Linked DNA regions of Lonchura striata. The protein of the gene in region 1 purifies or fractionates together with the protein of each later gene. This does not show direct contact. Links are inferred from orthologs where the notes say so. Each region holds a gene or a part of one and is shown in the gene's direction. Other genes may lie near its edges.

Region 1 (7,483 bases):
TTTGGGGGTTTTTGGGGCTCCCTGTGACTCCGGGATTTTTGGGGGGGTTTTGGGGGGATTTTGGGGGATTTTTGGGGATTTTGGGGGTCCCTGAGCCCGAATTTCCCCGCAGAGGGGGAGCACATGCAGTGCAAGACCCTCGGGTCTGGGGGGATTTTGGGTGTCCTGGGATGGATTTTTGGGGGGATTTTGGGGGTTTTTGGGGCTCTCTGTGCCCCCGGGATTTTTGGGGGGGTTTTGGGGGAATTTTGGGGGATTTTGGGGGATTTTGGGGGTCCCTGAGCCCGAATTTCCCCGCAGAGGGGGAGCACACCCGCTGCAGGACCCTCGGGTCCGGGGGGATTTTGGGTGTTCTGGGATGGATTTTTGGGGGGATTTTGGGAGGTTTTGGGGCTCCCTGTGACTCCGGGATTTTTGGGGGGATTTTGGGGGATTTTTGGGGGGATTTTGGGGGATTTTGGGGGATTTTGGGGGTCCCTGAGCCCGAATTTCCCCGCAGAGGGGGAGCACACCCGCTGCAAGACCCTCCTGACCGCCCGCTCCGGGGCGCTCTCGGCCTTCACCTCCAAGCGCAGCAGCTGCATCGGCTGCCGGGCCCTGCTGCCCCACCACGGTGAGACCCCCTCATTAACCAGTTAATTAGCCCCCGCACTAATTAACCCCTAATTAGTCACCTCGGGGTGGAATTCACCCGGTTTTGCAAAAAAAAACGGGTCAGAAACGGTCAAAATCCCCAAAACTGAACCTGAAAAAAGGGGATACTCGGAATGGAGCCCCCTCCTCAAATTAATTACCAGAATGCCTGCCCTAATTAATGGGCCCTGCTCTAATTAACGGGCCCTGCCCTAATTAACTCTAATTAATCCCCTCCAGCTGGAATAAACCTGGTTTTACCAAAAAAAAACGGGTCCAGAATGGCCAAAATCCCCAAAATTCGACCTCGAAAAATGGGATTCTGGGAATTGAAGCCCCCTCCCCAAATTAATCACCAGAATGCCTGCCCTAATTAACGGGCCCTGCGCTAATTAACTCTAATTAATCCCCTCCGGCTGGAATTAACCTGGTTTTACCAAAATAAACGGGTCCAGAATGGCCAAAATCCCCGAAATTCCACCTCAAAAAAGGGGATCCTCATAATTAAAGCCCCCTCGCCAAGTTAACCAAGCCTAATTAACAACCCCGCCCCTAATTAACGACCCCAACCCTAATTAACGACCCCGACCCGAAATTTCCCATCCCCGAAATTAATCCCTTTTCCCCAAAATGGGGGTCCAGGACCCCCAAAATTCCCAAAATTCAGCACAAACATCCCCAAAACTGGGGGGGCTGGAGCCCCAAAATCCCCAAAGTCAAGTCCCTTCCCCAAATTAACAAAAAATTATAATTTAAATCGTTAATAACTAATTAATACCTCCATAATTTAACCCATCCTGCCCAAAAATTTGGGGTCCCGGAGCCCCAAATTCACCCAAAATGGACCCAAAATCCGCAGGTGCAGTTTGCGATTTCTGCCGCCAGAGGGAGTCCGAGCTCTACCAGAAAGAGGTGGGGGGGGCTGGGTCCGAAATTTGGGGTTAAATTTGGGGTTTTGGGGTTAAAATTGGGATTTTGGGGTTAAAATTTGGGATTTTGGGGTTAAAATTGGGATTTTGGGGGTTAAATTTGGGATTTGGGGGTTTAAATTTGGGATTTTGGGGGTTTAAATTTGGGATTTTGGGGGTTTAAAGTTGGGATTTTGTGGTTTTGGTCCCGAATTTGGGGTTTGGGGGGTTTTGGGGTTTTAAATTTGAGATTTTGGGGGTTTTGCGGTTTTGAATTTGGGATTTTGGGCTCCCGAATTTGGGGTTTTGGTTTTGGGGGACCCAAATTTTGGGTGGATGGGTTGGGGATATTTTGGGGTTATTATGGGATGTTTCTCAGGTGAGCCAGGTGTGGCAGCTGGAGGGGTTTTGGGGATATTTTGGGGATATTTTGGGATATTTTGGGGTTATTATGGGATGTTTCTCAGGTGAGCCAGGTGTGGCAGCTGGAGGGATTTTGGATATTTTGGGGATATTTTGGGATGTTTTGAGGATATTTTGGGGATATTTTGGATATTTTGGATATTTTGGGATATTTTGGGATATTTTGGATATTTTGGGATATTTTGGGATATTTTGGATATTTTGGATATTTTGGGATGTTTCTCAGGTGAGCCAGGTGTGGCAGCTGGATGTGTTTGGGATATTTTGGGGATATTTTGGGATATTTTGGGGGTTATTATGGGATGTTGCTCAGGTGAGCCAGGTGTGGCAGCTGGATGTGTTTGGAATATTTTGGGATGTTTTGGGGATATTTTGGATATTTTGGGGATATTTTGGGGTGTTGCTCAGGTGAGCCAGGTGTGGCAGCTGGAGCGCAGCTTCGCCCGGCTCTGGAGCCAGTGCCAGCGGTGCCAGGGCTCCCTGCTGCAGGACGTGCTCTGCTCCAGGTACACCTGGGCACACCTGAGGGGCACCTGGGGCACCTGTGTGTCACACCTGTCACCTGTGTGTCACCTGTGTCACCTGTGTCACACCTGTGCCACCTGGGTCACCTCCTGTGTCACCTGTGTGGCACCTGTGTGTCACCTGTGTGTCACCTGTGTGTCACACCTGTCACCTGTGTCACCACCTGTGTCACCTCACCTGGGTCACCTGTGTCACCTGTGTCACCTGTGTGTCACCTGTGTGTCACCTCCTGTCACCTGTGTGTCACCTCCTGTGTCACCTGTGTGTCACCTGTGTCACCTGTGTCACCTGAGCCCTGTCTGTGTCACCTGTGTCACACCTGTGTGTCACCTGTCATTATCCCCATGCCACACCTGTGTCACCTGTGTGTCACACCTGTCACCTGTGTCACCATCCCTGTGTCACACCTGTGTGTCACCTGTGTCACCTGAACCCTCTGTGTGTCACACCTGTGTCACCTGTGTCACCTGAACCCTCTGTGTGTCTCACCTGTGTCACCTGTGTCACCTCACTCAGGTCCCCTCAGTCACCCCCAAATGTCCCAAAATCCCCAAATCCTCCTAAAATCCCCCAAACCCGCCCAGTCCTGAAATGTCCCAAAGTCCCCAAATCCCCCCAAATCCCCCCAAAAAACCCAAATGTCCCCAAATCCCCCCAAAATCCCCCAAATCCCCCAAAAAAACCCAAATGTCCCCAAATCCCCCAAAATCCCCCAAATCCCCTCAAAAACCCCAAATGTCCCCAAATCCCCAAATCCCCCAAAATCCCCCAAACTCCCCCCAAAAAACCCAAATCCCCAAAGGTACCAAAATGTCCCCCAGTCCTGAAATGTCCCAAAAAACCCCAAAATTCCCAAATGTCCCAAAAAACCCCAAAATCCCCAAATGTCCCAAAAATCCCCAAAATCCCCAAATGTCCCAAAAATCCCCAAAATCCCCAAATGTCCCAAAACCGCCCAATCCCCCAAAATCCCCAAATCTCCCCAAATCTCCCCAAATCCCCAAGTGTCCCCAAATGTCCCCAAATCCCCTCAAATCCCCAAATGTCTCAAAACCCCCCAAAATCCCCCAAACTCCCCCAATCCTGAAATATCCAAAAAACCCCAAAAATCCCCAAATCCCCCAAAATCCTCCAAATCCGCCCAATATCCCCTGAATCTCCCAAAATCCCCAAATGCTCCCAAATCCCCAAATGTCACAATATCCCCCGAATCCCCCCAATCCTGAAACCCCCCAAAATCCCCAAAAACCCCCAAAATCCCCAAAAAACTCCCAAAATCCCCTAAAATCCCCCCAAAATCCCCCCAAAACCCCAAAATCCCCTAAAATCCCCCCAAAATCCCCGCAGCCGGGACTGCCCCATTTTCTACATGCGCCGCAAGGTGCAGAAGGACCTGGAGGCGCAGCAGGAGCTGCTCCGGCGCTTCGGGGAGCCCGACTGGTGACCCCAAAATCCCCCAAATCCGCCCCAAAACCCCAAAATTTGGGATTTTCGGGGCCCACTCACCCCCCCAGCCCCGGCTTTTTGTATGGGAAGTTTAATAAAGAGCGAGTTTCTAGTGATTCCGTGTGGTTCTCTATCGGTTTTTTGAGGTTTTATGGGTTTTTTAATAATTTTGGGGGGGGTTTTTTGGAGTTTTTTGGGGATTTTTTTGGGTTTTTGGGATTTTTTGGTGTTTTCAGGAGGAATTTGCATTGATCGCTGCGGCCGCTAGGCGGCGCTGCGCGGGAGGCGTGGCTTGCTGATTGACACCTCCCCCGCCCAATCAGCGCGCAGAACCGCCCCGCCGCGCCGACCCGCGGGCGTGGCCTCGCTTTCACCCATGACTGACAACCCCCCCGCCCAATCAGCGCTGCGGGGCGTGGGCTAAGCCTGATGGGCGTGGGCGCCGCCCAATCATCACGCGGCGAGCGGGAAGCGGCGGCCAATGGGGAGGCGCGCGAGGGGGCCGGCGGCGGCCCCGCCCCCGCTATAAAAGGCCGCGGCGCTGAGGGCCGCCGCTGGCGCTCACAAGATGGCGGAGGCGGCCAATTGCACCATGGAGGTGAGAGCGGCGGCGGCGGCGCGGGAAACGCCGGGCCTGAGGGCAGAGCGGGCCCGGGCGGGCGGGGAGGGCGCTGGGGGGGCTCGGCGATGGCGGGGGGCGGCTCTGAGGGGATTGGGGCGGCTCTGAGGGGCTCTGAGGGGATTGGGGGGGGTTTGAATTGCTCTGAGGGGATGGGGGGAGCTCTGAGGGGCTCTGAGGGGATTTTTGAGGTTCTGAGGGGATTTTTGGGGCTCTGAGGGGATTTTTGGGGCTCTGAGGGGTTTTGAGGGGATTTGTGAGTCTCTGAGGGGCTCTGAGGGATTTCAGTGAGGCCTGGGGTTTTTTATGGAATTTTGGAGGATTTTAATGAAATTTTGGGGGTTTAAATGAAATCTCGGGGTTTTAAATGAAATTCTGGGGGATTTTAGTGAGAATTTGGGGGTTTTAGTGAGATTTTGGGGATATTAGTGAGATTTTGGGGGTTTTAGATAGATTTTGGGGGTTTTAGTGAGATTCTGGGGGTTTTAGTAAGATTTTGGGTTTTTATGAAATTTTGGGGGTTTTAGTGAGATTTTGGGGGTTTCAGTGAGATTTCGGGGATTTTAGTGAGATTTTGAGTTTTTTTATGAAATTCTGGGGGATTTTAGTGAGATTTTGGGGGTTTTAGTGAGATTTTGTTTTTTTTAATGAAATTCTGGGGGGTTTTAGTGAGATTTTGGGGGTTTTAATGAGATTTTGGGGTTTTAGTGAGGATTTGGGGTTTTTAGTAAGGTTTTGGGGTTTTTACTGAGGATTTGGGGGTTTTTATGAAATTTTTGGGGTTTTTATGAAATTTTGGGGGATTTTAATGAGGTTTTGAGTGAGATTTTGGGGTTTTTAGTGACGTTTGGGGGATTTTAATGAGGTTTTGGGGGGCTTAATTAACTTGAGGGGGTTTAATGAGGTTGGGGGTGTTTTGTCGTGACTGGGGGGGGACACAGGAGCAAATTCCCAGGGACCCCAAAATTTTGGGTCTGGGACCCCAAAATTCCCAGGGACCCCAAAATTTTGGGTCTGGGACCCCCCCAGGTTTCCAGGGACCCCCAAAATCTGGGTTGTAACCCCCCCAAATCTCCTCTGACCCCCAAAATTTGGGGTTTCAGTCCTCCCCTTCCTCAAAGTCGCCCCAAATTTTGGTCCTGACCCCCCTAAACCACCAAAATTTGGGGTCTTGAGCCCCTATATCCCCTCTGCCCCCCAAAAATGGGATCGTGACCCCCAAAAATTGGGCTTGTGACCCCCCACCCCATTTTAGGGTCCCCCAGCCCCATTTTAGGCTCTCCAACCCCAATTTAGGGACCTCCCACCCCTTTTTTAGGGACCCCCAACCCATTTTTGGGGTCATTCACCCCATTTTTAGGCTCCCCCCACGCCGATTTTGGGGTGCCCACCCCAATTTTGGGGTGCCCGGCCGGTTTTGGGGTGCCCGGTGACGTCTCTCGTTCCTCTTTCCCCAGAATTTTGTAGCCACCCTGGCTAACGGGATGAGCCTGCGGCCGCCTCGGGAGGAAGTAAATATTCCCCAAAAACCCCCAAAATCCGGGAAAAACCCAAATTCTGCCCCAAAAAACCCCAAAATCCGGGAAAAACCCAAATTCTGCCCCAAAAAAACCCCAAAATCCGGGAAGAACCCAAATTCTGCCCCAAAACCCGGGAAAAACCCAAATTCTGCCCCAAAATCTGGGAAAAACCCAAATTCTGCCCTAAAAAACACCCAAAATCCAGGAAAAATCCAAATTCTGCCCCAAAACCCGGGAAAAACCCAAATTCTGCCCCAAAACACCCCCAAAATCCGGGAAAAACCCAAATTCTGCCCCAAAATCTGGGAAAAACCCAAATTCTGCCCCAAAAAAACCCCGAAATCCGGGAAAAACCCAAATTCTGCCCCAAAAAAAACCCCAAAATCTGGGAAAAATAAACATCCAGTCCCAAAATCCGGGAAAAATCCTGAAATTCTGGGGGGAAAAATCCCCAATCCAGCCCAAAAACCCCCAAAATCCAGGAAAAACCCAAATTCTGCCCCCAAAAACCCCAAAATCCGGGAAAAATCCAAATTCTGCCCCAAAACACCCCCAAAATCCGGGAAGAACCCAAATTCTGCCCCAAAACCCGGGAAAAACCCGAATTCTGCCCCAAAATCTGGGAAAAACCCAAATTCTGCCCCAAAAAACACCCAAAATCCGGGAAAAACCCAAATTCTGCCCCAAAAAAAACCTGAAATCCAGGAAAAACCCAAATTCTGCCCCAAAATCCGGGAAAAATCCAAATTCTGCCCCAAAAAAAACCCGAAATCCGGGGAAAACCCAAATTCTGCCCCCAAAAAACCCCAAAATCCGGGAAAAACCCAAATTCTGCCCCAAAACCCAGAAAAAACCCAAATTCTGCCCCAAAAACCCCCAAAATCCGGGAAAAACCCAAATTCTGCCCCAAAAACCCCCAAAATCCGGGAAAAACCCAAATTCTGCCCCAAAACCCGGGAAAAACCCAAATTCTGCCTCAAAATCCAGGAAAAACCCAAATTCTGCCCCCAAAAACCCCAAAATCCGGGAAAAACCCAAATTCTGCCCCAAAATCTGGGAAAAACCCAAATTCTGCCCCAGAAAACCCCAAAATACGGGAAAAACCCAAATTCTGCCCCAAAACCCGGGAAAAATCCAAATTCTGCCCCAAAAAAAACCCGAAATCCGGGGAAAAGCCAAATTCTGCCCCAAAACACCCCAAAATCCGGGAAAAACCCAAATTCTGCCCCAGAAAACCCCAAAATCCGGGAAAACCCAAATTCTGCCCCAAAAAACCCCAAAATCCAGGAAAAATCCAAATTCTGCCCCAAAACAGCCCAAAATCTGGGAAAAACCCAAATTCTGCCCCAAAATCCGGGGAAAAACCAAAATTCTGGGGGATAAAGTGAAATTCTGGGGAAAAGAAAACC
Region 2 (7,188 bases), on another chromosome or scaffold:
CATATAAGGACAGGATCATATAGGAACTCGAGCCATACAGGGTCAGGGACAGAACCATATAAGGACTTGGGCCATATAGGGACAGGAATGGGATCGTACAGGGACTTGGGCTATACAGGAATAGGAATGGGATCATTCGGGACTCGGGCCATATAGGACCACAGGACCCCGTGTGACAGGGTGACCATGTGCAGGGGCTCAGTGTCCACTTCCACATCCTGGTCCTGGGGTTCTCCACAGCCGGTGTGGCCCCACCAGGGATGGTGACCGTGTCCAGCGCGGTGCCCAGCCCGGCAGTGGCCCCTGCTGGCCCCATCGGGGCTCGCTGCAGGGACCCAGGGGCCGCGGCAGGAGCCCGGAGCCACCGCGGGGTCCCCAGCGCGGCCACCGCAGCTCCTCCCTCTCCAAAGCCTCTTCCAGAGCCCCGGCGATGGGATGGGGAGACAAGATGGGCCCAGCCCAGCACCGGGAACTGGAGCGACTGGTTTAGCTGGGTCAAAGTGGAGCAGGGGAGTCGCAGTGGCTGAAACCTGTTCCAAGCTGTGTGTAAAGCTCCTGGCATGTCCCTCACTGCTCCCGCTTCCCAGAGCTCGTCCTGGGAATCTGCCAGCCGTGCTGGGCGCGCTCTGCCCCGGCCGCAGGGTCCGGGACCCCCCGGGACCCCTCGGGACCCCCCCAGTGCTGGGGTTCGCCCTGGGGCTGCTGTCCCGAAGGGTTTGGGGGTCCCGCTGTCCCTCGGACACTGCGGCCGTGCCGCTGCCCGCAGTCCTGGCCCTGTCCCCTCTGTCCCCTGGCAGGGACCGGGGTCGGGGTTATTTTTGGGCAATGCCCGTCCCTGTCACGAGCAGCTGCTGGCCCGGTGACTCTCCCGGGCGTTCCCGGAATCCTGCCCGCCGCTCGGGGACCGGGACACGGCGAGTGAGTGCCACGGGCCCCTCCCAGTGCCCCCATGCCCAGCCTCGGGATTTGGGGATCCGGCCCCTCCCGGAGCCCCAGGGATGGAGCCGGGTCCTGCTGGGAGGCAGCTCCTGAGCCGCCCTTTGGGATCCCTGCTCCTCTCTGGAACTCGCAATTCCAGCTGGGACCCCTCCTCTGCTTGGGGACCCCCCAGTTTCCCCATTCCCTGGGCGCTGGGGAGGGTGCCCAGGCAGTTTTGGGGTGCCCAGGCAGGGCCCATCCTCAGCCGCAGGGACGGGAAGTGAGGGAGGTGGAAGCAGAGGCAACAGGATGTAATTAGCCCCAAATTAGGGCTGGAACCCGGCATGAGGAGCCCGGCACCACCCGGCCCTGCTGAAAATGCAGCTCCTGTTTGAGGGGGTCCCAATCCTGAGGGAGGCTGAGGGATCTGGGGGCTGAAGCACTTGGGGTTGAGGAATTGGGGTGATCAGGAATCTGGGGGATCAGGAATTCGGGGGATCAGGAATTTGGGGACTGAAGCATTTGGGGGCTGAGGAATTTGGGGGCTGAAGCATTTGAGGGATCAGGAATTTGGGGGATCAGGAATTTGAGGGCTGAGGAATTCGGGGGCTGAGGAATTCGGGAGCTGATCTCCCCGGGGATGCCGGAGCCGGGCAGGCTGCGGGCTCCATCCCGCGCGGATCCGGGGCCGTAACGGGATCCGCGGATTATCAGCATCACCCGGGCCGGCTCGGAGTCCGGTTTCCTGGCCGAGGCGTTGCTGCAGCAACGCCGGGCTCGGGATTGTGGGGCCTTTTCAGCCGGACAAGAGTCCTTTGAGCGCGGGGGGCCCCCGCGGAGTCACCCGATAGCCCCCGCCGCTCCCCCCGGGCCCCGCCGGCCCCGCGGCCGCTCCGAGGACACCGGATCCCTTCATCGGCCCCGGGAGCGGGGCTGGCCGCGGCCCCGGCCCCGCGGCGCTGACGGACGGGGGATGCCGGCGGTGCCCCCGCGGGGTCACGGCGTGGCCACCGCGGCCACCGGCGGGGGCGCCGGGCACTGAGCCCGGCGGGGGACCCCGGTGCCCGTGCCGGTGCCCGTGCCGGTGCCGGTGCCGGTGCCAGTGCCCGTGCCCGTGCCCATGCCGGTGCCGGTGCCGGTGCCCGTGCCGGTGCCCGTGCCCATGCCGGTGCCCGTGCCGGTGCCCGTGCCGGTGCCCGTGCCCGTGCCGGTGCCCGTGCCCGTGCCGGCCCTCCCTACATCCCCGGTTTTTCCACATCCCGGGGGCGGCGAGGGGCGCTCGGGGGTGGCACGGGGAGCCCCCCTGAAGTGGGGCTGTCTCCCCAGCCGTGTCCCCGGGGCCAGGCCGGGGTTGTGCCCCCCACGCCCGGCCCCGCGGGGCTGGCCGGCGGTGCCAGCCGGGCTGCCCAGCCCCGGTATCGGATCCTCCCGGAGGGAGGGGGCTTGGAGCTTATTTAACGGGCCCGGCCGGGCCGGGCGGGCGCACTCGGAGCACGGGGAGCTCAGGTGAGCACAGGTGTCCCCGTCCCCCCCAAACCTCCCCGCCCAGCCCCTGGGAACCCCCCCAGTCCTGCCCAGGGGGACCGCGGCCGCGGGTGGGTGACATGTGGGGGTGGCACCGAGACGGGGGGGCCGGTGGGTGACGTGCTGGGGGTCCCGCAGCCACAGCCATGGGATCGCAGCTGGAAGGGGCCATGGAGACCCTGATCAATGTGTTCCACCACTACTCGGGCAAGGAGGGGGACAAGTACAAGCTGAGCAAGAAGGAGCTCAAGGAGCTGCTGCAGAGCGAGCTGGGATGTTTCCTGGAGGTAACTGGGACCAGTTTGGGGTGCGGGGGTCTCCCTTTCCCCGTTCCCCGGGGGAACAGCGGCTGCCCAGCCCCAGGGCTCACCCTGTGTCCCCCCCAGACCCAGAAGGACGCGGGGGCCGTGGAGAAGATCATGCAGGACCTGGATGAGAACGGCGACGGGGAGGTGGATTTCCAGGAATTTGTGGTCCTGGTGGCCGCTCTGACCGTGGCCTGCAACAACTTCTTCTGGGAGAACGCCTGACCCCCCTCCTGCCGCAGCAGGACGTGGGCTCCCAAAATCCAGAGCCCCCCCGCCACCCTCCGGCTCACCCCCTCAGCATTCCCAGGGGATCCCACTGGGATCCAGCTGCACAATAAAGGCACAACCCTGCCCGAGGTGTGTCCGTGTGCGTCAGCTCCTTCCTTCATTCCTGCTCGGGATTCCTGCCCCATCCCCTGGGAATATCCCACTCTGGGCGCACAGGGAAAAGCCAGCCTGGGTCACCCCAGAAGCCTGGAGACAGCCCTGGCTCCACCCCAGGATCCACCCTGGGATCCACCCGGGATCCACCCTGGGATTCACCCTGGGATCCGCCCCGACCGCCCGGGGCAGGGTGACCCCAGGGCGGGGGATCCCGGCCGGTGTCAGGGTGTGGGACACGGGAGCCCCGGGATTTGGGAAGGGGGTGACAGGCCGGGACTCGCTGCCGGTGGCTCCGGAGGCGCCAGCACTGCTCCCGCGGGGCTGGAGGAACCGGTTGGGATCTCCCAGCCCACTGGGATGGGACGGTGGCCAAGGGCCCCACCAGGGCCACCAGCGCCATCATCTGCCCGCCATCCCGGCTTGGGATCGGCCCTGCCTGGGTGGGATGGACATCGGGACAGGGGCACGGGACAGGGGTCAAGGAGCAGCTGGGCAGTGCTCCCAGGGACATGGTGGGACACCAGGAGTGTCATGGGCAGGGGACTCCACGGTCCTTACAGACCCCTTCCAACTCCGCAACTCCCTAACGCCTGGATCCTATATGATTCCACAGCTGAGCATTTTGTGATTCCATAATTCCAAGATTCCATGGAGCTGACAGAGGAGCTGATAAAGCTGACACAATTCCGTGGGACGTGGGGATCCCAGCACCGCGTGACTCCGTGACTCCACAGCTCCATGACTCCACGGTTCCTTGACCCCCCTGACTCCCTCATCCCACGGTTCCATGACGGTTCCATGACGGTTCCATGACGGTTTCATGACGTTTCCATGACGTGACCATGACGACACCGCTCTCTATGACGTCACGGGGACTCCACCCCTACTCCCGCCAGAACGTTCCCGCCTCTCCCTCAGCCCCGCCCCTTTCCCCGCCCCCTCCGCCGCTCCACCAATCACCGCCCGGCCCGGGGGGGCTCGCGCGGCGGTGGGCGTGGCCGGGAGCGCGGCCGCCATTTCGGCGGGGGCGGGAGCGGCGCCGGCGCCATTTTGTCGCGGGCGGCTGAGGGAGAAGCGGCAGCGGCGGCGGCGGGCGGAGCTCAGCGCCAGCCCCGGCCCGCGCCGGCCCCACACCGGCCCCGCACTCACTCACCCGCCCGCCCGCCCGCCCGCCTGCTGGCCGAGCCACCGGAGACCTGGCGACCGTGTGCTTCGGTGAGTGACCGGCCCGGCTGCGCGGGGGCGGGGCGCCGGGGGCCGCTCCTGAGGGCCGGGGGGTCCCCTCAGGGCCCCCTCATAGCCCGGAGAGCCCCTCACGGTCGGGGCTTTTCCTCCGGAGCCGGGCCTGCGGGAGGCGGAGCGGTTTGTTTTTATTTTTTTTTAATCCTCAGGAAGAAAAATGCTTTAAGAACCACTTCAAATTGAAGAAGCTGCTGTATATTAAAACAAAATTATTATAATTAGTTTCAAGCAGCAATGAGGCTTTCTGTTGTCTCAGTTTCTGGTTGTAAATCCTCTCAATAAAACGTTTTTTTCAGGGTACTATAGAATAAACGCATCCCGGCCGTCATCCACTCATTCGATTTGCTGCTAATTATAAAATAAATTAATAAATCGATCTGCAGAGCTCGGGGGTTGGAGCCCAGCGTGTTTCTGTAGCATCCAGCACTGGGGGGGGATTTAAATCCCTACCCTGAGGGAATTGGAACCTCCATGTTTTTAAAGGGTACGATGCTTTTGTAGCATCGTCTTGGATTTTTATTCCCTGTGCCCTTAAAATTGGGGTTTGCACCTTGGTCATGCTAAGAACACGGGAAATGTGGAGGTGTCAGTGTGCAAAAGGCGTTTGGGTGCTATTTACACCTGGATTTGTATGTTATTACTCAGAAAAACGATAAGGTATTCACTGTAAAAATATAAATTTTTACTAAAGGTAAATTAAAATAACTCCCTTTTTTATTAAACCTGGTAGAGGGCTAGAAAACATTAAAAATGCATAAATACAATACCTATAACTAGCCTCACTCTTAGTTCTCTCCACAGAGAGCAGAAGTTTTTTAATGTTTAATCATGTAAATACGTAATAATTGTTTTAATTTGATGTCTTGGATTCTGTTTTGCATCTTTGCTCTGGAGGTGGCATTTGGTTGCCATCTTGCTCCTGGATTTTTGTGTTATTTTTCCTAATATTGCTGAAGCATTCACTGTAAAATGATATATTTTTGGTAAGGGAGAAATAAAGGAACTCCCTGATTTATTAAAACCGGGAGAAGACCAAAAAGCATTCAAAATCCCAGAATCAGAACAGAAAAATTCTGGCAGAGGGCTAAAAATCAGTGGGGAAAAATGAATATATTGCACATAACCTGCCCTAATCTTGATTTCCTTCACCCAAAGAGGCAGAACGGAAGGGATGTTTAGTATTTTGCAGTATAAATGTGTAATAAATGTCTAAATTTTCCCTTCTGGGCCCTGTTTTGCAGATTCTCTGAAGATGGCTGCACAGTCAGCACCGAAGGTCGTGCTAAAGAGCACCACCAAGATGTCTCTGAACGAGCGGTGAGGAAGCCAACGGCACCTTCAGCTCCTAAGAAATCATATATAATTTTTTTTTTTTTTTTTTACTTAATTCTCACTATCCAAAAATCCAAAAACCCACCGTGGTTTCCGCCCTCTTTTAACCTCGTCGAGCGAGCGGGTGCCTCCACCCCCGCCTTACCCTCCGACCCCTGCGGCACGCAAGGTTAAAAGGGCCAAAAATCCCGGAGGGATTGCTCCGTGTTTAGTGTTGATTCGCCTCGTAAATCCGGTGGGATGTGTTGTTGTAAGAGCAGAGACCAGCCTCACACCCTCCCTGTCTCTCCCACATGTTTTGACATTGGTATTTTGGCTCTGCTGCCGCGCCCGAGGCTCCCACCCGCCCGGGTGGGCCCTGTAAGAGGCCGGCGGCGGCCCCGGAACCGGCCCAAAGGCTCTTCTGGGCCTTGTAAGAGGCACCAGCTTCGCTTCACCTCCATCTCTCTCTGTCCTCGAGCTCTTCCCGTGGGTCATTCCGCTGGGTTTCTCCACGTGTGGCTCCTCTGTGACGACTAACGGGTGTCCTGCTGAGCATTTTGGGGTTAAACACGCTGGCCTGGGGCAGCTGCTCTGCCACTGAGCATTTTGGGGTTAAACACTGGAATGGAGCAGCTACTGTCCCACTGAGCATTTTGGGGTTAAACACCCTGGAATGGAGCAGCCACTGTCCCACTGAGCATTTTGGGGTTAAACACGCTGCCATGGGGTAACCACCATCCCACTGAGCATTCTGGGGTTAAACACCCTGGAATGGAGCAGCCACTGTCCTACTGAGCATTTTGGGGTTAAACACCCTGAAATGGGGCAGCCACTCTCCCACTGAGCATTTTTGGGTTACACACGCTGCCATGGGGTAACCACTGTCCCAGTGAGTATTTTGGGGTTAAACACCCTGAAATGGGGCAGCCACTCTCCCACTGAGCATTTTGGGGTTAAACACCCTGAAATGGGGCAGCCACTGTCCTACTGAGCATTTTGGGGTTAAACACCCTGGAATGGGGCAGCCACTCTCCCACTGAGCATTTTGGGGTTAAACACGCTGCCATGGGGTAACCACTGTCCCAGTGAGTATTTTGGGGTTAAACACGCTGCCATGGGGTAACCACTGTCCCAGTGAGTATTTTGGGGTTAAACACCCTGAAATGGGGCAGCCACTCTCCCACTGAGCATTTTGGGGTTAAACACGCTGCCATGGTGTAACCACTGTCCCAGTGAGCATTTTGGGGTTAAACACCCTGGAATGGAGCAGCCACTGTCCCAGTGAGCATTTTGGGGTTAAACACCCTGGAATGGGGCAGCTTTTGCTCCCTGCAGGCAGCTCAGGGACACCTTGCTGCCCCTTCCCCCCCGTCAGACCAAACTCCTCGTTTTTAGGATGGGTTTTGTTCGCCAGCTCCCAGGAAGCTGCTGGGGTGCTGCTGAGGAGTTTTATTTTCCGCCTCGCTGCGTCCATGGAGAAAAAAAACACCACAAAAAC

The links. Proteins that work in one complex are often made in the same cells at the same time.
Region 2: the proteins of PRMT1 (region 1) and CHTOP purify together in Homo sapiens (affinity purification with western blotting; 7 studies listed by BioGRID and IntAct, with this or other methods). This does not show direct contact. The link is inferred for Lonchura striata from reciprocal best matches to the Homo sapiens genes PRMT1 and CHTOP.

The regions. Positions count from the first base shown.
Region 1 is NC_134640.1:2,740,189-2,747,671, reverse strand, and holds the start of PRMT1 (protein arginine N-methyltransferase 1), read left to right. Parts: upstream 1-4,482; 5' UTR 4,483-4,503; coding exon 4,504-4,533; intron 4,534-6,011; coding exon 6,012-6,065; intron 6,066-7,483. Other genes in the region: DNA polymerase delta catalytic subunit, read left to right, coding at 500-613, 1,493-1,545, 2,373-2,470, 3,837-3,933. UniProt on the Homo sapiens protein: Arginine methyltransferase that methylates (mono and asymmetric dimethylation) the guanidino nitrogens of arginyl residues present in proteins such as ESR1, histone H2, H3 and H4, FMR1, ILF3, HNRNPA1, HNRNPD, NFATC2IP, SUPT5H, TAF15, EWS, HABP4, SERBP1, RBM15, FOXO1, CHTOP, MAP3K5/ASK1, MICU1 and NPRL2.
Region 2 is NC_134635.1:3,147,164-3,154,351, reverse strand, and holds the start of CHTOP (chromatin target of PRMT1 protein), read left to right. Parts: upstream 1-4,171; 5' UTR 4,172-4,349; intron 4,350-5,617; 5' UTR 5,618-5,628; coding exon 5,629-5,693; intron 5,694-7,188. Other genes in the region: S100A1 (protein S100-A1), read left to right, coding at 2,589-2,729, 2,829-2,972. UniProt on the Homo sapiens protein: Plays an important role in the ligand-dependent activation of estrogen receptor target genes. May play a role in the silencing of fetal globin genes.